Linked DNA regions of Tamandua tetradactyla. The protein of the gene in region 1 purifies or fractionates together with the protein of each later gene. This does not show direct contact. Links are inferred from orthologs where the notes say so. Each region holds a gene or a part of one and is shown on either strand. Other genes may lie near its edges. The genes, in order: CD84, SH2D1B and SH2D1A.

What was found.
Region 2: the proteins of CD84 (region 1) and SH2D1B purify together in Homo sapiens (affinity purification with western blotting; 3 studies listed by BioGRID and IntAct, with this or other methods). This does not show direct contact. The link is inferred for Tamandua tetradactyla from reciprocal best matches to the Homo sapiens genes CD84 and SH2D1B.
Region 3: the proteins of CD84 (region 1) and SH2D1A purify together in Homo sapiens (affinity purification with western blotting; 4 studies listed by BioGRID and IntAct, with this or other methods). This does not show direct contact. The link is inferred for Tamandua tetradactyla from reciprocal best matches to the Homo sapiens genes CD84 and SH2D1A.

The regions. Positions count from the first base shown.
Region 1 is NC_135330.1:13,723,601-13,731,981, reverse strand, and holds the start of CD84 (SLAM family member 5), read left to right. Parts: upstream 1-4,960; 5' UTR 4,961-4,993; coding exon 4,994-5,039; intron 5,040-8,381. UniProt on the Homo sapiens protein: Self-ligand receptor of the signaling lymphocytic activation molecule (SLAM) family.
Region 2 is NC_135330.1:15,552,457-15,560,926, reverse strand, and holds the start of SH2D1B (SH2 domain-containing protein 1B), read left to right. Parts: upstream 1-5,149; 5' UTR 5,150-5,299; coding exon 5,300-5,448; intron 5,449-8,470. UniProt on the Homo sapiens protein: Cytoplasmic adapter regulating receptors of the signaling lymphocytic activation molecule (SLAM) family such as CD84, SLAMF1, LY9 and CD244. In SLAM signaling seems to cooperate with SH2D1A/SAP.
Region 3 is NC_135353.1:40,834,511-40,842,479, reverse strand, and holds the start of SH2D1A (SH2 domain-containing protein 1A), read left to right. Parts: upstream 1-4,572; 5' UTR 4,573-4,757; coding exon 4,758-4,894; intron 4,895-7,969.

The DNA.
Region 1 (8,381 bases):
TATTTAGTGTCATTACTGTAAAAGCAGTGCTTTCTTCTACCATTTTGCCTTTTGGATTTTATAGGTCATATCTATTTTTTTTTTTCTCTTTTTACCTTTACTGGTCGTCTTCATTTCTACACTCTTCTCCACTTCTCCAGTTCTCCATTTCTACACTTCTTTCTCTCCTGTCTTTCCCTATTTGCCCCTAGTGCTGCCTATAGTATTGCTTGCAGAGCCAGTCTCTTGGTCACAAATTCCCTCAGTGATTTTTTTGTCTGAAAAGTTTTAATTTTCCCCTCATTTTTGAAGGACAGTTTTGCTAGGTATAAAGTTCTTGGTTGGCAGCTTTTCTCTTTTAGGATCTTAAATAAATCATCCCACTGTCTTCTCACCTCCATGGTTTTTTTCTGAGAAATCTACACATAGTCTTATTGGGCTTCCCTTGTATGTGATGGATTGCTGTTCTCTGCTGCTTTCAAAATTCTCTTTCTCTTTGACATCTGACAGTCTGATTAGTAAGTATCTTGGAGTATGTCTATTTGGATCAATTCTATTTGGGGTATGCTGCAGTTTTTGGATTTGTAATTTTATGTCTCTCATAAGAGATGGAAATTTTCAATGATAATTTCCTCCATGATCATTCTCCTCCTTTTCCCTTCTCTTCTCCTTCTGGGATGCTCATAACACATATATTCACACATTCATGTTGCCATTCTATTCCCTGAGTCCCTGTTCATATTTTTCCATTCTTTTCCCTATATCTTCTTTTGTATGTCAGATTCCAGATGTCCAGTCCTCTAGTCACTAATCCTTTCTTCTGCCTCTCCAAATTTAATGTTGTAGGTTTCCATCTTTTTTTTTTCTGCATCTCTTCTACTGTGACCTTCATTCCCATAAATTCTGTGATTTTTTTTTGACTATCAATTTTTTGTTGTTGTTGTTCACCCATTGCCTTCTTTATATCCTCCCTCAATTCACTGATTTGATTTTTGTTGAGATTTTCTGTGTCTGTTTAAACATCCTGAATTAGTTGTTTCAACTCCTGTATATCATTTGAATTGTTGGTTTGTTCCTTTGACTGGGCCATATCTTCAATTTTCCTAGTATGACTCATTTTTTGCTGGTGTTTAGGCATTTGATTTCCTTAATTATTGTATTCTGGAGATTGTTTTCACTCTTTTACCTAGGATTTTCTTGCTGGATGATTTTGTTTTCTATGACATTCAGTTCAGCTTATTCTAGACCTCTAGCATTGGTTTTGTTTAACAGATAAGAATTTTTCAGTTCTTGTTTTTCTGTTTCTTGCCCTGCCTGTATGGAGACTTTTTTTTCAGGAGGGCCTACTGAGATATTATAGACCCCAGTCGGATTTTCCTGGACCAGACTGGCCTCCTTTCAGGAGGAAGGAGTCACCTGCATCAGTTTTCCCTGAGGGTGAGACCCAGCAGTTTGAGAGATTTTCCTATGAAGCCTCTACATTCTATGTTTTTCCTATCCTGCCCAGTATGTGGTGCTTGTCTGCCTGCAGTTTCCCACCAGTATAAAGTGATGCAGTGCCTTTAACTTAAGCAGACTCTCCCTGCTGGGGGCGTGGTTGAGACAGAGGAGAGTTTGTAGGCTGGATTTAATTGCTTCCATTTTCCAGTCCTGGAGGTCTGAATTCCTTGAGGGAGGGATTCCACCAGAGCTGGAACCCACCTCTCTCCTGGGAAAGGCACAGCCTCCAGGAAATTAATTCCTTTCACCTGACCAGCCTCTTTGTCTCTCAGACAAGCTTAATTCTGCCCTCGTCTGGGGCAGTTAAGCCTGAGAAGCCTTGCAGTCCTATCTAATGGGTTATTATGTAGAAACAAAGCAAAAACAAATCCTTTTCAAAGCAGAGCCCCCATTCCTTGGGTTTGCTAATCAGGAGCTTAAGTTGGTAAATTGCTCTATGTATCTTTAGGTTCTATGTGCCCCCACCCCACCACCACCACACACACCTTTTCCTATAAGGTCCAGCCCTTTTCAACTATTTTGTGTTATCCAATCCAAAAAGTCTCTGCTTTTGTTTGTTTGTTTATTTTTCCATCAGCCCTGCCCACTCTGTGCCATGGCAAAAACCCCTAGTACCTTTAGCTGTTGTTTGAGGTTTATCTGCATTGGGGGACTATTTTTAATAGTCAGAATTTGTTAATTAGTTCCACAATTGGAACTTGATTGAGGTAAACCCTTGCTGTTAGTAAAGCCTCTTTCCTTTTCCCTCCATGAACCAGCCTGTAGGGGTGGGGCGCTGACTTCGGCAGCTTGTGGGACTTACAGTTCTGTGTGGGATCACAGCTGGTTCAGCTTGTCCAGACTGGTGTATGCTGTGTGTGTCTGGTCATTGATGTGGCCTCAACAGTTGTTCTGTACTTTTCCTGGCTATTTACTAGCTGCCCTAGAGGATGGACTAAATTCTACACCTCACTAAGCCACCATCTTGGAACTGCCTAGCCTCCTATATTCAGGAGAAGCTAAAAGGAAAAATCTGAGAGGATGGCATGGCAGCCCATGACAAATTCTGGGATCTGCCCTGTGACTACTTGTTGAAGAGTGCTTTGAAAACTGTTGCTTTTTTCTTTCTTTGCTTTGTATATATGCTATATTATATAATTTGAAAAGTAAAAAAAAAAAAAGATATAGGAGAAAAATTTCCTTTGTTGAAGGAAGGCTTGAACCATCAGTTTTAAAAAACAATTGGAAGCTGGCCAGAAATATGTAAAGAAAACACACCTGAACATATCCTAGTAAAATCTAAAACCTCAAGGATAAAGAAAAAAGTCTAGATGTTTCCACACAGAAAATGAAAAGAACAAGAATCAACCTGGTATATATTTTCTCATTTACAAAACTAAGTGGTAGAAAGATGGAGCTCATAACCAGCTAAATTGCTATTTACATAACAGTGCAAAACAATTTGAAGATATTTGCAGATATTTATGTATTCAGAATGGGTACATTTAAAAAAATTTTACTCAGGCATATTCGAAGAAGGTAAAGAATATGCTAAGATAAGGATTTCCAAAAAGGAGGGAATTGTGGGAATCAAGGCATACTGTTGAGCAAAGAAACAAATAATAGTAAATTTCAATAATTGTTGACAATCAATATATATTTTATTGCACAAAAATAACGTTAATAAGTTCATTCCTAGGAGAGGATTCCTAAAACAGAAGAAAATGCTGGGAAAAAATATAATAAGGAAATAAAGTTACTATCTATTTAAACAAAATGAGAGGCTAAGAGGAATAAGTACATGTAAATATCTTGCTAGGAGGTGGGGATAGTAATACTCATTAATTATGACTGACAGAAAAAATCTAGATTTGTATATATTTCTTAAAATATTATGTGTATTCATTAATGGAATCCTTCTGCATCCTCATCAAGAGAAGAAGTCTCAAAAGCCAGCATTTTCTTAATAAATATCCCTGGAGCTAAGACCTTAAATAAGAAATCAGCCTAGGATTTTTAAAGACATAGGCATGCGAGCAGGCAAGCATTTTAATGGTAAAGGAATTCCTAGCCCATGTATCCCCACTTCCAAAAAATGCTAAGGAAAGAAGAAATATTCCTACAAAGAAGGAATAAGGGAAAAAAGAGAATATGAATTCAAGGGTTTAACTGCTGATAACTTCATGTTCTCTTTCTTCCTTCTTCTTTCTCTGTACAACTAATAACGTGGGATAAATGTGTATTTTTGCCCGTGGAGTCTTTCAGGAAGATGTGCTTGCTAAAAAGGTGAAAGTGGTGTGGTTTAATCTAGTGAAGTGAAATAATAAGAATTTAAGAGATCCCATTTTTACTTTTAATACTTCTTTGGGCCAAACAGCTTCCCAGTTTACCATATCTACATAAAGGCACTCAACTATTCAATGCTAATCAAGTATATTTGGAGAATGATAAGCAAGATTGTCCACAGAATGACCCTATCACATCAGGTTGACTAGAAATAAGCTAGCTGGCAAGAGAACTCTTCCTCTCAGTGGGAAAGGCTGTGCACAATCTTACTTCCCCCAGCTTTCCCAGAGCTCCCCCAGATAGTCAGGCTTATGTTTATACTGCTAGGTTTAGGAACCCACATGTTTATTTTCATCACCCATCCCCCCACCCCAAAACCACAAGGTCATTCTTATTCTTCTAATGGGGTGGAACAGTCTGGTGTTGCAGGTGGCTTGACCCCAGCCCAAGATACCTCCCTGCACTTTTCTTTCATGCCTATAAGCTCATATTTACCTAGTGGCATTTGCTGGTCTTTACCTGAATTGACTAATTTACTGTGTGATCTTAGGAAAAATCATTTTCCTTCATTCTGAGCCTCGGTTTCCCAATCTGCAAAATAGAATAGACTCAAAATCTCTTTCAGTTCTGAACTTTATCAAACCCTTACTCTGTCCCTAATAATGTATGTTCATAATTATAATAGTAATTGCTACCATTTATTTAGCTCCTATTGTGTGTCAAAACATTCTTCAACTTCCACATTCCCCAATACCTTTCATCTAATAATGCCTTCAGGTCTTTCTCAGCTTGATTTTTTTAGTCCCTTCAGCTGAAGCTTTCTCAAACTCCCCCTGTCCTTGGTTAGCTGTCCCAACCGTTCGCAGAGTTCCCTGTATTTCCCTAATTGCAACACATACCACACTATGTTGGAATTGCCTGATAATCATTGTTCTCCCCAGTAGAAGTATAACCTTCATGAAAGGAGGGAGATCATTTGCTTTTGTTAGTCTTTAAATTGTTATTACCCAGAATAGCGCCTGATACATAGTAGGCACTCAATAAATAATTGTTAAAAGAATTAATTAATGCTGGGTACAGCATGTTATATAATAGAAAAAAACTAGTCCCATAAAAGAAAGACCAACGTTAGCTCACACTTCCCTTTTTTGAAATGCGGCTATAAAAAGGACAAAAAACTTTAAGCAGAACTGACTCTTGGTTGGAAGAGTGCTAGTCTTGCTTACAGAAGATTAGACCCTTGGAGAGAATGGCTCAGCGCAGCTTATGGATCTTGCTTCTTTGGCTGCAGACTTGTGAGTTCTGACCTTTCTGACTCCCTCCTACTTTTCCACAAAGCTTTAGAAATTGCTTTTAAGGAAAACATGGAAATGCCATTTTGATATGTATTTTTAACAGAACACCTTCGCTTAAAATATTCTATTCTGAAAATGGATCCACCTGGCTGGGGAGAGACCTAAGATCCAAACCTAAATGGTTTTCAGCTTTAAAGCTGATATTTCTGAACTTTTCCTGTGTGTGGTCTTTAAAGGTTTGAGACAAATCCCTTTGCTCAGGAGAATTAGTCCTTGGTAGACCCAGCCACAAAGTTCAGAAAATGCATAGATAATTCAAAACTTTGAGTAATTTAAAAGCAATTAATCCTTGGCTTTAGAATGTGTTATATAACTTTTGACAGAGATATGTCCTTCCAAATTACCTTCCATTGCTCTATAAGATTAGAGTGATGCATGACTTATTATTGTAAAAACATCACCTCTACAAGCTCCTTTTATTTTCAAAGCATGTTCAGAGCAATTGCTGTGCTTTAATCCTTCAAAATCTCTCAAAAATAAATGGGTAAGAGATTATTATTTCTATTTTACAATAAATTAGGTCTCAAAAAAAAAGGTGGGGAACTTGAACTAAAAACCCTGTTTTTCTCACTTATGGCTTGATGGTAAACTATAAGGGACAAAACAAAAATTGGTTGTTGTTATTACAAAGAAAACTATGTAACATTAACAAGGTCTGAAAGTGCTTTGTCATTTCACGTTATTATCTCATTAAATTCAAACAGTTGTGCTTTTATATAGGAATTGACTATGGCTGACATTTCTAAATCTTTGTTTCTAGTATCTTTTACCAACTCTGGAAATGCATTAGTAAATTCGGGACATGAGTTAGAACCTAAGAAACCTAGTGGGTTAGATATGTAAAAAATAGAATCAATGCACCTTAGCCCCTCTGGTTCTTTTGACCTCTTAAAACTATGGTTCCTTTACTTTGAGCTTCGTGGTGATTGCAACTAGACAGATCTAGTTTTGGGAGCCTATGTTTGTCACTCTGGCATGGCAGACAGAAAACGCAAGTAGAGGGGATAAACGACTGACTAGAATCCAAGTGAAACTCTAGTTCCAGAGAAGGGCTGAACAGGGAGACATTTAGTCCAACTTAATTTACAAAGTATTCGACAATTTTTATGCCTATGTTCTTAGGCATAAAAATTTACTTTGGTTGTCCATAGTAAAATCATTGAGATAGGCAAGATAATATTAATCCCATCAGCAAATAAAAGTAAACTAAAATTTATAGATCCAGTGATTCACTTGAAGTTTTCACAACAAGTAGCTAGTAGAGTTGGAAATGGGCATTGGTCCTGATTCCAAGTTAGAGGGCTTTCTGCTCTAAGTGACCCCCTCATCATTAAATTTTCAAATCCTTGATATTCTTCAAAGGGCTAATAATACTAAAATAAATGGCTGCTCTAGTATACAATTCTAAAATCAGCTAGTAAAATAGTAAATTATTCACCTATTAGCTTTGTGACTTTAAGCAAATAACCTAACCTCTCTGAGCCTGTGTCTTCAACTACCTATCCAATAGTGTCATTTTAAGAATCAAAATAATTCATGTACAACACTTGACACAATAGCTGGAATATAGTAAGTGCTCTACAAATATTAGCTAATGCTGTTGTTTTTCATACTTCCTTGAAACACAGTACTAGAAAGAACAAGGTCTTTATTGCACAGAGATCCTAGGCAGGTCTCCTTTGCTTAGGATGGTGCAAGGAATAGGGGCAGGAGAAAAGGTGCTGGGAGTTTTGGTTTTGGTGTAGTCTATTGGGTCTGTGGAAAAGGAAATCAGGGATAAGATATTCATTTTGTCAGGAGCACATGAAATGGGAGAGTGAGGACTTGTTTTTGTAGTAAAACCAGAAGTGTTTTCACATTCCATTCATCTTTGCTGAAAGAATCTGTTCACCTCTTAAGGATTATTCCACAAATACTCCCTGAGTGTGAGAATCTGCTCCAAATTCTTCCTGCCGCCATACCTGGCCCCTTATAGTCAGCATTGGGCTCAGGTGTCAACATCAGTGTTGACACCTGCATTATTTTGATTCTTAAAACCACAGTATTGGATAGGTACTGATAGTTTCCCCATTTTGAAGTTGAAGACAAAGGCTCAGTGTTGTGCACTTCTCTAGGTTAAGAGCCTTTGAAGCTGCCAAGAAGCAATGGAAAGATGAAGTTAGAAATCATCGTAGTCCCCTGAAATCACTAAGAGAACTCTGAGTGTGCAAACTCATGACTGCTCCATGCTGGAAATATTTTCTCTAAGAATCAAGACTCATGGTCTCATGCTCTGATCTCAACTTTCTGATCATGACTTCAGGAATATCGTGACTCTGACTCTTCTCTAATATCCTACCAGCCACTCACCCTTTGGGGTGAAGGACAAAAGAGTCCATCACTTTTGTCCCACATCCTTTCCCCTCTACATGTTTTCACACACTCTTTTATATCCTCCTTTCTCCAACTCTTCCTTGCTCCAGTTTCTTCAACCCCACCTCCTGCTCCCTTTTTCTATTTCCCATCAAGAATAGTAGTGCCAGACTATTTGTCTGGCATTTGTCTAAGTAGTCTGCATTTATTACTTTGTTTAATGCTTAATCCTCACAATAATATCCCCATTTTACAGATGAAGAGAATGAGACACAGACTGTTAGAGGTCATTTAGCCAAAAAGTGTAAGAAGAAATACTTTCATCTGCAGCCAGAAGAGTTCCTATAATGAAAACTGAGGCCCCTTTTCATTCCAAGATGATTTCTCAAAAGTACTCTGCAAACATCACTTCAGTTCTTCAGTGGAGTCACCTTTGTGGGAGACTTCAGCCACCGAGAGCTGGGCATCCACTGGGACCGTGGCTTAGGACTGAGAGTAGAATAATGAATTACCCACTTCAAAATGTAAGGGCAATTTTGAGGGCCTGGATTTTTCTCAGGTCTCTTGATAAGCATCCTAATTTCTGTCAATAAAAAATTACCAATCTTTAGAAAAGCACAAGCATGTTTTAAATCCAGGTTACTTTCAGAAGATCTTAGTTTATACTGAGCATTGTCCAATGAGCTTTGATTGTCAACACTATAAACTCTAAACTAGCTTGATGCTTGTTTCTTGTGAAAATGACTATCCCTTCTCCCCATACCTCTACTCCCAAACCCAGGCCTAGGGACAGACGCAGATTATTCTGCCCATTATTACTTCTTGTCCTTTATCAGTTTATTTTGGGGAAAATATGTCCCCAAAGATAAGAGTAATAGTCTGGCAGGAACTGACTGGTTAGTTAATTCATATGTTGTAAAGCCATGTTCA
Region 2 (8,470 bases), about 1.8 Mb from region 1:
TATGTTCCTTTCTGTCCTCAGTGATCTGGCCAGGATCTGGACCCCAAGGTGGCCCACTGCAAGAGGGAGGATCTGGACTCCAAGGTGGCAGCCACTGCACAGAGATAACAACTGACTGTTCTTTATTGTAGTTTATCAGCCTCTTCCTCCTGCTCCACCCTGGATGCTGGACAGTGTCCTTCTGGCTCCAGACCCCAGGACACTTGGCTTCCACTGTTCCTGCCTGTTTAATGGCTGTTTGGTGGAAAGATTGATTGCTGGAGCTCCTTACTCCACCATCTTCCCAGAAAGTTCTTCTCTGTATGTGAAATATATTCAAAATAGTAATACCAAATTGTTACTAAAAATTGAACTAATGAATGAGGATTAATCTCATCTTTTAGGTATGTTGGGAAACACTTTCAGAGAAAAATGTTTCATTTTGCTTTAAAAAATCATTTATTTTAGTCATCCAGCCATAGAAAATCAATTCATGGAATATAAATATTTACTTCTTATTAATAAATCAACATTGAATCATATCACGCATAGAAAAAGAAGTGAGTGTGCCCTGTACTGCCCGGACGGTATTAGGAATGACACATTTGACAAAGAAACAACGTGGCCTAAAAAAAACGAAACAGCATCTTGGTGAGTTAAAAAAACGACTGACGTACTAACTATTCAAAGTGGAAGATATTGTATTAAGATTGTAAACTCGAATTCTATATTCTAAAGCCAGTAGAAATAATTTTCCATATGATTATATAACGAAAGTGTTTTATAGTTACATATACATTATTTTAGTTTGTTTTCTCTCTTTTAAGGAGCCTATTTATTTATTTATTTATTTTTTCCTTGTGAAAACAAAAAACTCATATGTTACACAAATCAAACTAGCATATAAATATAAATTATGGCATGTTTTAATGCATTGTCTCAACTGTTTCTGATAGCTATTTCATAATGAGTTCACAAGCCATCCTTAAGTAAAAAGTCACATTTATTTTTTATATATAAAATATATATGTAAAATATATATAAATATATAAAAATATTTATTTTTAATATATAAAACAATTACATGATTTCATACTCAAAACTAGATATCAAATTTTATTTAGAAATGTCTCACCTCTATGCCCACGTCACCTACATTATTGACATTTTTTGTTTTTATTTAGTCCTAGTTTTATTTTCTTTTGCAAATGAGTAAATGCACGTTTATTTGCAGCTCCCATACTCTGTATGTATTACTGTTTTTACCTTACTGCTTTTACCTAATAATATATTCTGAAAATGACTTGGTATCAGCATATAAAGATCTTCCTCATCTGATTTTTTTTTTTTTTTTTTTTTTTTTTTTTTTTTTTTTTAAAGGAAAGACAGAGAGAAGGAAGGAAGGATAGAAGGAAGGAAGGGAGGAAGAAAGGGAAACATTTTCTTGTTTTATTGTATTTCGTTTCTCCGCCTTCGCTACATGGGCTGGGGCCGGGAATCGAACCGAGGTCCTCCGGCATAGCAGGCAAGCACTTTGCCCGCTGAGCCACCGCGGCCCGCCCTTCCTCATCTGATTTTATGACTGCATATTAATATTCCATTGTTGGATTATTACAGTTTATTTAGTAGAAGAAATTCAGAAGAATTTTGGTGTGTCTAATCCTTTGCTACTAAATACATTACCTTGTGCCTAAGTCATTTTGTATTTCTGCCTTTGATCTATCAGAGGGTAAATGCTTATGTAGTTTTTCTAGATATTGCCAAACTCTCCTCCATTGGAGTTGTAACCATTTTGAATTCCCACAAACAATGTATGAGATGTTCTATTTCATCTCAGCATCACTAGCCCAGTATGTTTTCACTTTTCATTTTCGTCAATGTGATAGAGACTTTCAGTATGGAATTAGCTTGCATTACTCTTATTTTGAGTGAGGATGGTAGAATTTGTTTTTGAAATAGGAAGAAAGGCAAGCAAGGTTCTATGATGAACAAGCATGCATGCAATTATTTCCTCCATATGTCAAAAAGCATCTTCACACAAAACTTGGTATACCCAATGTTCTCTTCCATCAATAGTAATTCTCTCCTCAACTTCCATAATTTCCAGTATTCCATTATTTACTATAATTAATAGCATATTACCCAAGGCCACACAAGTAGCAAAAAAAGTAAACTTGGACTTGAGAGCATGTCTTTCTGATATCAAGTTCTTTGATTAGTATAATTCCATTACACTCACAGCAGAGCAGTGGAACTTGCAAGGAAGAAAAATGACCTGCTACAGGGAAATTCCATGGGAGATGCAACCCAAGAGTGGTTGGACAGATATGGGGACAACCAATAGGTTGAGCCTGCAATCTTGAGTCTTGCCTCTATGAAGCTTATTCCTGCAAAGGTTAAGCGAAGCCTATTGATAAGTATGCCTAAGAGTCACCCCCAGAGAACCTCTTTTATTGTTCAGATGTGGCCTCTCTCCCTAAGCCCAAGTTGGCAGGTGAATTCACTGCCCTGCCCCCTACATAGGACATGACTCCCAGGGATGTAAATCTCCCTGGCATATGGGACCTGACTCCTGGGGATGAGCCGGGACCTGGCATCATGGGATTGAGAAAGCCCTCTTGACCAATAGCGGAAAGAGAGAAATGGGACAAAATAAAGTCTCAATGGCTGAGAGATTTCAGAGTTGAGAGGTTATCTAGGATGTATACAGATATCCCTTTTTAGTTTATGGTGTATTGGAGTAGCTAGAGGGAAGTACTTGAAACCATTGAACTGTGTTCCAGTAGCCTTATTTCTTGAAGATGATTTTATAACTATATGGCTTTTTATAATGTGGTTGTGTGATTGTGAAAACCTTGTGTCTGATGCTCCTTTTATCCTGGGTATGGGCAAATGACTAAAAAAAAAAAGTTAAAAAAACTAAATAAAAAATAGGGGGAGATAAAGGTAAAAATTGGGTAGGTTGAAATACTGGCAGTCAGTGAGAGGGAGGGGCAAGGGGCCTGGGATATATGAGTTCATTTTCTTTCTTTTTATTTCTTTTTCTGGGGTGATGCAAATGTTCTAAAAGATGTTCGTGGTGAAGAATACACAACTATGTGATGATATTGCAAGCCACTGATTGTATAATATGGTTGGACTTATATGTGTGGATATTTCTCAATAAAAATATTTTTTAAAAGAAGAGTAGTTGGACAGCTCTTAGGCAAAGCAGCGAGATGAAATAACCATCTGGGATAAGACTGCAGAGTTATATTGGTAAGGGAGAAGAATGAATCATGAGCACATGGTTCTATTTTTAAAGTTATATAGTTGAGAGACGTAATGATTCCCACAGATATTTAAGTGGGAGCAGCTGAACAGGGAGAGAAATTCACATATGGTTTATAATGATTATCATCGTATGGTGGTGTGCAAGTATTATGTTTGGAAAGTATTATGTACCCTAGAAAAGCCATGTTTTAATCCTGATTCTGTCTTATGGAGGCAGCTGTTTCTTTTAATCCCTATTCAGTTTTGTAGGCTGGAGACTTGATTAGATTATCTACACGGAGCTGTGATACACCCAATTGTGGGTATTAATTTTTTATTAGATGAAGATGTGATTCCACCCATTCCAGGTGGGTCTTGATTAGATTACTAGAGCCTTTAAAAGGGAAAACATTTTGGAGAAACGGCAGAAACGAGCAAGCCTGGAGAAATGACAGAAGCCTCAGAGCTGATAGAAACTTCACAGCAGAGCTGACACAGATGAGAACATGTGGAGAACAGAAACAAGGATATCTGGAAATGCTTGGAGCCCAGCAGACGTCACCATGAGATGTTAAGCAAGCCAGAACCTGGAGAGAGCCAAGGGAAGCCGAGAGATGAAAGTCAGCCCTGGAGAAGCAAAGTGAGGAACCCCCACAGGTACAGAGGCTGAAAGCAAGGGAGCCCAGGAGCAAGGGACCAGAGTGCTTTCCCAGCTGCAGAGGTGTTGCAGATCCATCAGTCTTCCTTGAATTAAGGTATCTTTCCCTGGACCCCTTAGTTTGGACATTTCCACAAGCTTAGAACTGTAAACTTATAACTTTACAGTTTTTTGTAAAAGCCACTCCAGTTCTGGGATATTGCTTTCTGGCAGCTTGCAAACTAACACAGGTGGTAATTGTTAAGTAAACAAAAGTTAAATAAATGTAATCCAGTTAAAAACATGATAGGTATGCTTGCATGGCTTATTCCATCTGAAATTAATATACAGGATGGTTTTGCTGATCAAAAAGGCCTTGGGAATTATAATCAGGACTTATTCACACTCAGATAACAAAAGCCAACAGATTCTCTACCTCTCCCAAGGATATCAGCTGATCAGCAGAAATAGAATGAATTGCCTCATCAGCACCAGGTGTCTGCTGGTTTAAAGGGGGCCAGGTGTCTCTGGCTAGATAGATTTGTCTTGTTCTTTCTTCATGGGGGCACATCAGGGCTCTCCTCCAGGACAGGAACTTCAAAGGACCTACAGGTCTCTAAATCCAGGCCCAATAAACTCTTTTCTTTCACCTGGAGAAATATCCCCTCTCTAAGCTTGTATATTTGGATATCCCTCCCACCAGCACCAGCTCCTCCTTCCCCAAAGGCATAATGCCTGAGGATATAAAGAGCCTTGGTTCTCAGTGGCGTGGAGCTTAGCCATGGGATGGGGTCCTCCCTGAGAGTGTCCAGTTGATTTCTCTTCCCATTGATGTTCTCCATTTTTCAGGTAGACTCATGAAAGTCTGGTCCTTTCAATTGGCTCACTGTGTCTGGACATATCTAAATTCATGCAGCACCCAAATGTTTTGAACACCGTTCTGGGCTAAGCATAGCCCAATCATAGGAAGCTCCAGCTGAAAATCGGCAGCTATTACAGCAAAAGCAGCGGTACTCCTTCTGGAGGAGACAGCCAGTAGCCAGAGAAGGTTAAAAAAAAAAAAAATGGTGCTATACGGTGATACATGAGACTACAACCCAGATCTGGAGAGGATGACTTCAACATTGCAGCCACTGCTGAAGAGCGTGATTCCATTGCATACTCAGAGGAATTCTCATGCATGTCTGTGAGTCAAAACAACTCACACTCAGTCCATTTGTAGGTTGAAATGGCTTGGTCACTTCACCCCCACCTTTTCATTTCCTGGAGCTTGTGAAGCAGGCTAAGTCCTACAGACCTTGTCTCACTACTCACAGACAGAGCGGAAGGAGTATTGCCACAGACTCCATCAGGCCAGTTGCTTCCACTTCTCTCCCCAGAACCGTCCCTTGACTCAAGACTGGATTTTCAGCTGACAAGGCACCCTGAGATATGGCAGGGGCCCCCCTGGATCTGCCCTATTACCATGGCCCTCTGAACAAGAGGGACTGTGAGACCTTGCTGCTCAATGGAGGGGTGGACGGCAACTTTCTGTTAAGAGACAGCGAGTCTGTGCCAGGAGTGCTGTGCCTCTGTGTCTCGTGAGTAGCCTCGTCTCCCCCACACTGGAAACCTTATATCGAATGGAATAATGGCAACCAAATATACAAAGATGTTATTTCACTTTGCTTTGCAGCCCAAATGACTAGAGCGAGAAATAGCTAGACACTGCCAGGAAGAGACGGAAGGAAGGCATCTGCCTTTGCTCTCCCACCTGCCTCTCTCTCTCCCTGGTGTAAACGCTGCATGATCAGATCCCCTGCAGCAGCAGAAGAGGGGCTGGTGGGGAAGGGAAGGGGGCAGGTAACGCAGGAGATAGGGAGGTGGGGTGTGGGCAGGTAGTGGAGAGAAGGTAGGAATGCGAGAAAGGCCCTTTTCTCTGCAGGTCTCTTTATTTGGTATGGCAAAGGCCTTGCTTGAAATTTCAATCTGAAAGACCAAGTTGTCACTCCTTCTGTCACTTCCACATAAAAGTCTTGAAATACTGATAATATTTCACATTTTTATTTAGATTTGTAAAGATCTGTACAGCATTTCCTTTCATCCTTCTTGAGGTCTATAAGGCAAGGATAAGCAGTCACCATTTCATAGGTGAAGAAACAGAGACCCACCTTTCTCAAATGACTTTTCGGCATTAAAACTCAGCTAGCATTTCCAAAACATCTGAGTTAAGTGTAAAATTCCAGCTCTGGGTATCAGAGCTACCCTGCTGAAGGAGTTGTTTATACTGAGTTTAGAAAGCAATCCCAGGCAGATAGTGGAAGCCTCTTAGCTTGTATTCTCTTGTATTCTTGTATTCTCTCTTGTGTATTCTCTTCTTTTTAAAATGGAGACCGCCAAACCTTTCCCCTTCTTTCTGTTATGCAAATTGAAACCCAAGTGTCTCCATGGATAAACTTTTGTGCTTCTTAGAATTAGAGAGCTATGAAGACAGAAATGACTGCCATGACTAATAGAATAGGTAGGGATATATTTCTTCTTTAAATGGTGTTAGGGATTCAGTTATGAAACTGTCGTGGGTTATCAACTTTCATTTTCAAGTTGCAATTGAGGTTGAGCATGTTTTCATATTTTTTTTAATCCATTGGGAATTCTCTTTTGAGAACTCCTTAGTCATTTCCTTTACCCACTGTTAGCTTGTGTTGTTCTCTTTTTATTAACGTTTTTCAAATTCTGTGTATAAAGATAAAGCATTTTTTCCAAAAAGAGACCCAGACACAAAGGAAAACTACAGACTGATTTCACTTGTATCAATTTGTACTAAACTAAACTATTAACACATAGAAACACATTAAAGTAGAAAATATACTATGATCAAGAGTCGTACAATCCAGGAAATCTAGGAGGTTTCAACGTTAGGAAAATTATTAATTTAATTGCATATTAATAGGTCAAAGATAACAAACTATATGACTTACTCAAATTTGCTTCACAAGTAGTAGATAAAATTCAATATCCATCTCTCCAATTAGATACACACGCATGCTCACACATGGATGCACTTACACACCCCTTATACACTCCTAATCAAAGGCCAAATGGAACACTAGAAAAATTCCTGTTACGGTAGTGAATGAGACAATGATGCTCATTATCAGCACTACTATGTAACATTTTTCAGGAGATACCAGCATGTGCAAATCAATAAGGTTCAAAATTGAAAAGGAAGATGCAAATTTATTATCATTTGAAGTTGGTATAATTGTATACCTTTGAAATCCAAGATTTTACTGGAAAGAAAAATCAAAAACTCCTACTAGAAACTTGAAGAAAATTCAGTTAGCGCACGTGTTTCCAAATTAAAATGTAAAAATAAATAGCTTTCCTACATAGAAACAATAACCAGTAAGAAAATGTAATAAAATAACCTGTTTATATTAGCAAAATATATAAAAATAATGCTCAGGAATAAATGTAACAGGAAATGTGCAAGACTTAAATGAAGAAAACTTAAATATCTACTGAGGGCTCACAAGAAGACTAGAATGAGTGGAAAGACTCAATTTTGGAAGCATGTCAGTTCATCGCAAATTAATCTATAAATTCAGCATTTTCCAGCAAAAGTAACAGAATTTAAAAAATTTGTCCAAGGATAATAAGGTTCATCCAAGTGGGAGGAGGGGGCAAAGAACTTGCTGGAATAGCTGGAAATTTTTTGATAAAAGAAGGGGATAGAATAAAACTACCAAACATAATATATTATAAAACTACAGTAATTAAAAGAGTTTAATAGTACTAAATAAATAGAATTTGGCGTATGATTAAAATAGTATTTCAAATTAATAAAGAAGGGGCAGGCCACGGTGGCTCAGCAGGCAGAGTTCTCGCCTGTCATGCTAGAGACCCGGGTTCGATTTCCAGGGCCTGCCCATGCAAAAACAAAACAAAACAAAACAAAAACCCAAATCAATAAAGAAAAGAATGACAATTAATGATATTAGGACACTTGGCTGGTTCACATAGAATAAAATAAATTTGAATCCCGTTCTTACTTCTAGAAGTAAAATTACTGTATAATGGTTCAAATACTTATTCTATTTTTAAAAAAATGAACCTATGGGTATTAAAAGAAAATAGGGACTATTAAAAAGTACTGCTTTAAGTGTAAAGGCCTTCCTAAGTGACAAATAAAATCCAGGCACCATAGATAAAAAGATTAGTATATATGAGCGTAGTAAAAAACTAAGATCAAACAACTTCAAAGACAATTGACAAGCTGTTAGAAAAAAAAAATTGCATTAACATATAAAGAGCTTCTAAAAATCAGTAGAAAAATGGATAAAGTAAAAGGGCAGGAGATTCTTAGAAAAAGAAATGTATGGAAAAAAACTAGTTGTCACTCATAATTAAAGACAAATTAAAAGAATAATGGCATTTTTTTTTTTTTTTTTTTGCCTGTTGAATGAGTAAGAATTAAAACTATGAAAATTCTCAGTCTGCTGTTGGAGTGTTGTGAGGCAGGCACTTTTGCACACTCTGGTGCAGCCTCTTTGAATGGTAATGTGATGCTAAATATAAAATGTATGGAAATAACTATCTCAGTAATAAAATTGTATTCTATAG
Region 3 (7,969 bases), on another chromosome or scaffold:
AGCTTCTCCTGGGAAATTCATCAAAACTTACATTAGAGTTTCCAAATTGCAGCTTGCCCTTTGGAACTTGGGCTTGCCAATCCCCATGACCACCTGAGCCAATTCCTATAGTAAATCTAATAATAGTTTCATAGATATATCCTTTCGATTGTGTTTCTTTGGAGACTCTTGACTTATAAACTGCATAACCAAATTAGTCTAGGATAGAGAATGCCCAAATCTTTTAAAAACAAACCAATCAGTGTTCTGTGACTTAGCAAGGATAAGCTGATGATTCAGATTCCAGATGGTAAGCCTGAGAGAACAGACTTTCACTCTGTAATATCCTTCCAAAAGAGGTAAAAAGACCCAAGCAAAAGCCGTATAGCTGATCTCATAAGGCATGTAGACATAGGTCTCCTGTAAGTCAGGGCAGGGGAAGAGTTGATACTTGAATGTAAGAATATTGCAGAAGCCAGAATTATCCTTCTTAGATAGGAGACTGAAGTCTGAGCCATCCAGGGCAGTGATAGCAGAATTAGTGGTGGAAGGCAGAAGACGATGGTGGTGAAATGCACAGGATCTGTAGCCAGCTGGCCTGTATTCAAATCCTGGGTCTGACACAGACAAGTAGTTCAACCTTGAGTAGGTTACTTAGCCTCTCTGAGTTTTGGCTTCTTTGTTGGTAACATGGGATAATAATGGTATCTGCTTCATAGGACTGTAGATATAAATACAGGAGATAATATATACAAAGTGTTTAGCAGGATGCCTGGAATGTTGTAAGCAATTAACAAATATTAACTATTGCTTTTACTCCAAGAATAAAACCTCAAAATTAGGCAGAATTTCAGCTAGAATTAGGGAGCCCACTTTGAGTTCATGAAGGAGGTAAAATTAGGACAAGTAAAAGGAATTGTATATAGTAGACAGAAATATATAAAACTTGCTGCTTCTAATAGGATGCGCAGGTTTAGAATATAGGTCATTAGTTGTCCCACTACTATGCGGCAGAGCACCATCCTTTCCTCTATCACAGCCCTTAAAGGAATTGTAATTGTCTGTTTGCTGGTCTGTTTTCCTCAGTAGACTGAGTTCCTTGAGAGCAGACACTGTGTTTTCTTTTCTTCTCTCTACTAGGTATATATTTTTAGTTGATGCTCAAAAATGTTGGTTGAAAGAATAAACACATTTAAAGCAGGCTTAAATAAACATAGACCAACAACTCTATCTCTGGTTTCTCACTTACAAAATAGCATTAAAAAATGGCCTCATAGGTAAAGCCAGACATTATTGAAAGGAAGTGATCTTTTTTTTAAAGACATTTTAAAATTTTCTCTCATTTTTGTGAAGGAAGTGACTTTTAGTAAATTCTGAAAGAATGTATAAACTCACCACAGGTGACAATATCATAACACTGTCACAGTAGAATTCACACCTAGAAATGAGTTAGTTGAAGAACAAAGTTAGGTTTGAAAGGTTAGAGAAAAAGATTTTGAAATGTCAGAACCACTCTATAAAATTGACCACCCTTGGCATCATCCCTTTAATCTACCTGGGCTTGAGAATAGCCTAGGGCATTTGAAATGAAGACAATTAGCACCTCAGACCAGGCATCCATGTGCAAAATTCTGTCACTTCTCAGAGATCTCAGGAGATGACAAGTTTGGATAAGAAGACTTTTATTCTTGGTTGACAATTCTGAATTCAATGCTTTTATATTATATTTGATTTATGCAATATCTGTATTCTAAAAGGTTGTAGTTTGCTTTAAATTGTGCAGGTCTCTTTCTCCACACCATGACTAATTTCTTCGGTTATTTTAAAACAAGAACAAAAATCTATACCCTATTGTGTAAGACAAGGAAATAGCTCTTGCTTCTTGCACACAAATATTAACTCAGTGCATTTCCCCTTTGTTTCTCTCTAATGCATGCTAAACTTTCATTTAAAGCATAAAATGTTAAAGCTGAAAGTGACCTTAAGGGCCATCTGGTTCAACTGCATTTTACAGGTGGGGAAAAATGAGGCTTGGAGAGAGGAAGTGATTTAGTGACAAAACATGGTGTATAGTTGGACTATCATAGTTACTGAATTAATGGTTTTTCCAATTCATTTTTCTCCTTCATGGGTGGGCCCTGAAGCATGTAGAACCAAATTTTAATGTGTGTGTGCAAAAGTGAATTTCAGTATTTTTTCTGTATTTTCTTGAGAATGTTAATCATTTTTTCATTCATTCAATAAATATTATCTATAATGTACCGGCCACTGGGGATGTAGTGATGAACAAAGAACAAAATGTCCTGCAATCATGGACTGCATTCTGCTCCTATAGTGGTTTATATTCTTTTTTTTGGGGGGGGGCGCTCATTCTTCCTAATTCTTTCTCTTTTGTTATCTCCGTTGGAGGGAGGAAGAAAGTCATTTCAGTTCTTCCTTTCTCTACAATGCAAGCTCAGTGTAGAGATCTGAATTTGCTAAAGCCAGGTTTAGTACTGGTGTAGCATTAGAGTGAAGATGTTAGTATTTTCCATCAACACTGCAGTAGTGGGGTGGCTCAGCTGTCAGTTTGCTTTTGAGATGACAATGAGGTACTGGATGTGAGCGTTGTACTATTACCTTATAATTTATCTGTTCTGTTTTTTACAACTTTAGTTGTGCTGAATGCCATCATACCTCGCTGCTTTGATAGGTGTGCTATTTTAGCAACACAAAACAAGCAAAGGAAAGAAGAATGCATGGTATACTTCTGCTGTCGGATTCAGGTTGCTCTGTTCCTAAGTTTGTGGATGATTTGTTTAGAGTTGTACTGAGAATAAAAAGTTAGGTTTTGTTTTTTTACCTATGTAACACCAAATGTTCTCACAGATCACCTCACAGGTAGGCTGTTGCCCATATGGACTGATATGAAGGGGTACCTTTCCCTATCTTTTCCTTTCATGATTGAAATACCACTAATGCGATTGATTCCTCTGGGCTAATCATTTGCCCACTCAAAATACAAAGACTCCAAGGAGGACTAACTTTTTAAGTCCTTAACATTGGAATATCCATTCACTTATCAGATTAATTGCTTTCTTGATCCAAAATATAAGAAGGAGTGAGGCAGAGTTGGCAAAAAAGAAGAAAAGTGAGGTAGGAAGGTGATGAGACATATTATCCAATTCCCTGGAGTCATCCCCAAATGTAACCTTGGATGCTATATATTTATTTTTGGTGTTGAAAATGACTGCAGGAGGCTCTGTTCACACTTTAAGTACTATGATTGCTAGATTCTATATGAATTATCATTCAGACTGGGCACTCTTCAATCAAGAAGTTGAGTTGCTACCAGCTACCACCTTAAATCTTAGAAGATTGTTCTTAATTGTAATGGGTAGAGAGCAAATATTTGGCTTTAGCATAAAGCAGGTCTGTGCATTTGATTCATTAGTAGGACAAGTGAGGATTTGAAAACTGTTCTCCCTATTGAACTCTGAGCCTTGTCATGTTTTCAAAGAATTGGCACTGAAGTTGTGGAAGGGATACAGCAGACAACAAAACTTCAGTTATTTAAATTTCAGTTTAAAAAATACTTTACATAATCTAAAGGTAAATGTATAAGTCTGTTCAGTTTTAGGCATTAGCAAAGTCTTATTCTGTTAAAAATGGAGAAAGCTTTTGGGAAATATTATTTAACAGCATATTTTGAAATAGAAGCGATGTTTATTTCAGATAAGGAAAAGAAAGTTGAAATATTTTTAAAAATTAATGATAGTTTAGCATCATTTTAAGAAAAAAATATTCTCTAGAAAAAAAAACAGAGAATAAGAGTTACCGCAAAATCCTCAACACTTCGAAATGATTTAAAACAGGCTTTATGCCCCAAATGCTGAAAAGTGGTTCTTATACACCAGAGAGTACATGTATGTCCACATAAAGGCAATGCAACAATTAGATAATTCATTCTCTCATCTACAGCCCATCAAGTGGATAAATCTGGGACATAGGCTGTGATTTTTGTACTCCAACTGCATTTTTGGATTTTAGACAAGATAGGAAAAATCGGTATTTGCTCAGGTTCAAGGTTGTTCAAGATAGCTACACAAGGGAGGAGTTGGAGGAAAAGCATAGGAGAGGGTCAGTAGCAGTAGGAGGGTGAAGAGGGGAAAATGCTTCCTTAAAGTCCAATGCTCACCCACCATGTCTGATTCCTAGGAGCCTCACGGCCACATTCAGTATGCACTGATAATACTGATAGCTTGCGTGTATAATACTGATAGCTTGGTGTCACTGTTTTTGGTCCTTTCGTTCAATCTCTGTCAGTATGTTTCCACTCCACATGAGGGCCTGTACAACTTGCCTCTATCATCCATCCCTTTGGGGGAGCTAGTTAAAGTTGCATCATCCCTGCCGGCCCCTGGGAAAACTGCATGAGCAACATTGCCAAGCATCACTGTGTGTGTGCAAGGATCTGTGTTAGCAGTGCAGCTGAAATCTTCTTGAAAGGGCCATCATCTTCCAACATTCTTCCCTTCTCCATATGAACCTTTTAGTTGGAGGACGGGGAGAGGGAGCGAGCTCCGAGGCGATAACCAAGCTGCTAAATTGCTGAGTTGGTTTTAGTTGAAGTGTGAGAAGGTTTTCACGCACACTGACAACATCCTGTTGTTCGGGTGCATTTCTCTGTTTCTTGCACATCTGGCTGAACTGGGAGACAGGTGGCTGACTCGGCCTGACTATAGCTGCAGTGGCATCTCTTTTATCAGACGTTTTGACCCACACGAATCCACCAGGTCATGGATGCAGTGACCGTGTATCACGGCAAAATTAGCCGGGAAACCGGGGAGAAGCTCCTGCTTGCTACAGGTCTGGACGGCAGCTATCTGCTAAGGGACAGTGAGAGCGTCCCGGGAGTCTACTGCCTGTGTGTGCTGTGAGTATGCAGCCGTGGGGACCTACGGAGGGCAAAGGTGGTGGGTGGGCTGTGGTGGTCGGGCTCAGGCAAGAACACAGGTTGTGGGAGTTTGTGGCCTGAAGGCCTCCTCAGGTCCAGCCCTGGTCCATGGCACACCATACTTCAGCCTAGACAACTCAGGATTTCATTCGCCTGCTCCAGAAAGGCCTCACCAGGGATTTGGGGGGATGGCTACAGAAAATGCCCTTTTGGGTGGGAAAATGTGACCGGGAATTTACCTTCACTTTAAGAAAGACCATGTATCTCATAGAGATGAGCAAGGTGGAGCCCTGGGATGGTGCCTGGGTTAGATTTGGGGTCACAGCTCCTGAGAGAAGGAAAGGTCTTTCTGAGGCTACTTTTAAAGGGATTTGGAGGCCTTATCTCAGACAGACCATCAGATTCAAGGAGAGGAGGAAGATAAGAAACTGAATCCATTACGTGAAGACTGCAACTCATCAGGTCGGGATAGCAGATGTTTGTGAGTCAAACTGCTCTCTGGATCTGCTTAATTTGCTTCCTTTTAGAAGATTTGTGTGTAGGGCAGGGGATTTCAGAAATAGGACCCTTAAAAAAAAGCTAGGTGTGACCACAGTTGTAAAGAGCAGAGAAGGAAAACACTCTTGTTATGATTCAGCCTTGCCTTTTACCTAGGCATGTTTCAGTCTGAATTCCCATTTTGAATCAGATGTATCTTCATCTTTGCTCCAGGGCTCCAGAGACAGATATATCTGAGACCTAATCTTGTGCTAGGCAGATGCTAGGTTTGTGACCTCAGGCAAGTTAATCTCTCAGTTCTCTCAACCATAAAATGGGTGTAATACTACTAAGTACCTCAGCATGGATTAAATGCCATACTGCATGCAAAAATACTTGGCACTGGGATCTGACCCACAGTAAATATTCAATGTGAGGCATCCTTTGTTCAGTCTGATTTCTTTTAGTACATACGCATGGGTGTATTTCTAGGCAAGGGCCTAGCACTTTTTGGCAGCAAAATAAAAACAATGATGAAAATACCAGTCAGTCCCTCAAGCAGTCTCCTGACAGAAACAAAATGAGGGAAAATGCTTTGTAGTAAATTCAGTATCTAATGACACACTGCAAGATTTTGAGGTATGTTCTGGGTTAGTGAAGAAATGTTACATCAAAGTTGGTGTTAGGGACTTTTAATTGCATATATTTTTAAGAAATGGGAAATCTATGTTTGTGGCGGCTCTCAATTAACCAGAATATACCTATTCTCTGGCCATACTAAGTGGATTTATTATAAAAGATTCAAGGAAAATATGTGGAAGCTATTGAATCTCTTGGGCATGAATTTTTATGTTTTGCTTATAATATTGTCTTTCCTGGTTAGGAGTTAAGGAAGGTCGTTGAAAGCCAACTGATGTTTTCAGACTCTTATTAAAAGAAGGTGGAAGAGTGAGTGGGCAAGTGAAAGGGGCTGCTTTAAAAGTTAACAAAAGATGTGACGGGTTCCTTAATCTAGAGGTACAAAAAGAGGGTACAAAAGAAGCCTTAGCAGGAGAGGGAGAGCAGGGGATGGTATGTGGCAAGACTCACCTAAGGCTTCAGCCACACTTCCTTGCTGTTTCTCAAGTATGTCAGGCACGCTCTTTCATTAGGGTCTTTGCACTTGTTCCTTTTGTCAAAAATATATTCAATTCACATATTTCTTCAGCTCTGTCTTTCTTCAGAGGGAACTTTCTTGATCACTCTATCTAAAATAAGTGTTCTCTCCTGGTTTGTCGCTATCCCTTTATGTCTCTTCAAGGAGCTTAAAACTACCTGACATTCGCTTGTTTACTTATTTATCGTTGGGCTTTCCTGCTAAAACATAATCTCCATGGCAGCAGGGACAGTGTGTTTACCGCTGTGTCTCCAGCACTAGGAACACTGTCTGAAACCTCTTGGGCCTGTGGAGACAAATTCTGTTCTTTACCGCAAAGGCAAAGATGCAGGCCCTGGGGAAGTCACTTAATTTTCTGGGCCTTTGTTTCCATATTTGTAAAACAGGAATTGTGATGCATGCCCTACTTTCAGTATAAAATTGGTATAAAGTAAAATATGCAAGAGAAAAGGACAACTTTAGCCTTTTGCCGAGACCATGTCAGGAATTAATTTAGGCAGATAAGAAATTCTCAAACATTTAGTTTTCACTCAAAGTGAATCTTGTATAAATACAGTTTTTATAACTCTTAGTTCTCCATGAAAACCTCCTTATGAAGTAGTACAAAATAGAGTTAGGCAAATTGGGGGTCCTTGGGCTGTTAGAGTGATAGCTAGACTGTGCTGCAGAGGGAAGATACATTGCCTTTTTTTTTTTTTTGATAACATTGTCTTTTATCAGTTTATTAACCTTTTTGAGTCCAGGGTGCCTTCTGATAAACAAAAATATTTCATGCTCCCTTTTGCCACTATACTGTAATAACAACAAAATCAGATTTTATTTTGAAATGCACCATGTACTTATTTTAAAACAAAATATTTAGGTTTATCATATAAACTAAAGAGTGGAAATAAAGTAGATGTAAAATAGAAATACTTATGTAAATGGTGCTATATACATATGCCATAAACACATGATCAGCAAGATAGAGCTAAACAAACATGCATTCATTGCAGGTTCACTTGAAATGGTTTATCAGTCTACTTTTCTTTTTTCTCACCATCCAAGAAGGTTTTCTTGAACTTTATTTTCTGTATTTTTATTGTAGGAGTAACAATTGCCTTTCGAATTATATGTACCTCTTTCCTACTTCTGGATTCTCCTAATCACGATCTTTACATATGTCTTTGAAAGTTTTCTACTCTTCAGTTTTAGAAAATTGAATCTCATTCTAAAGGCACTAAAGACATTTTCCATTCATAGGATTGCTCACCTTCATTTAAAGTGAGAAGTTTTATTTTTCATTCAATTTTTCTAAATAAATCTAGATTTTTGTATAAGTCAATTTAAAAATAGTCCCTTATAGGTAATACCTATTCATTATAGAAAAGTTGAAAAATAAAGATAATGGAAATCAAGGAGAAGTTCTTTATACTTTAATA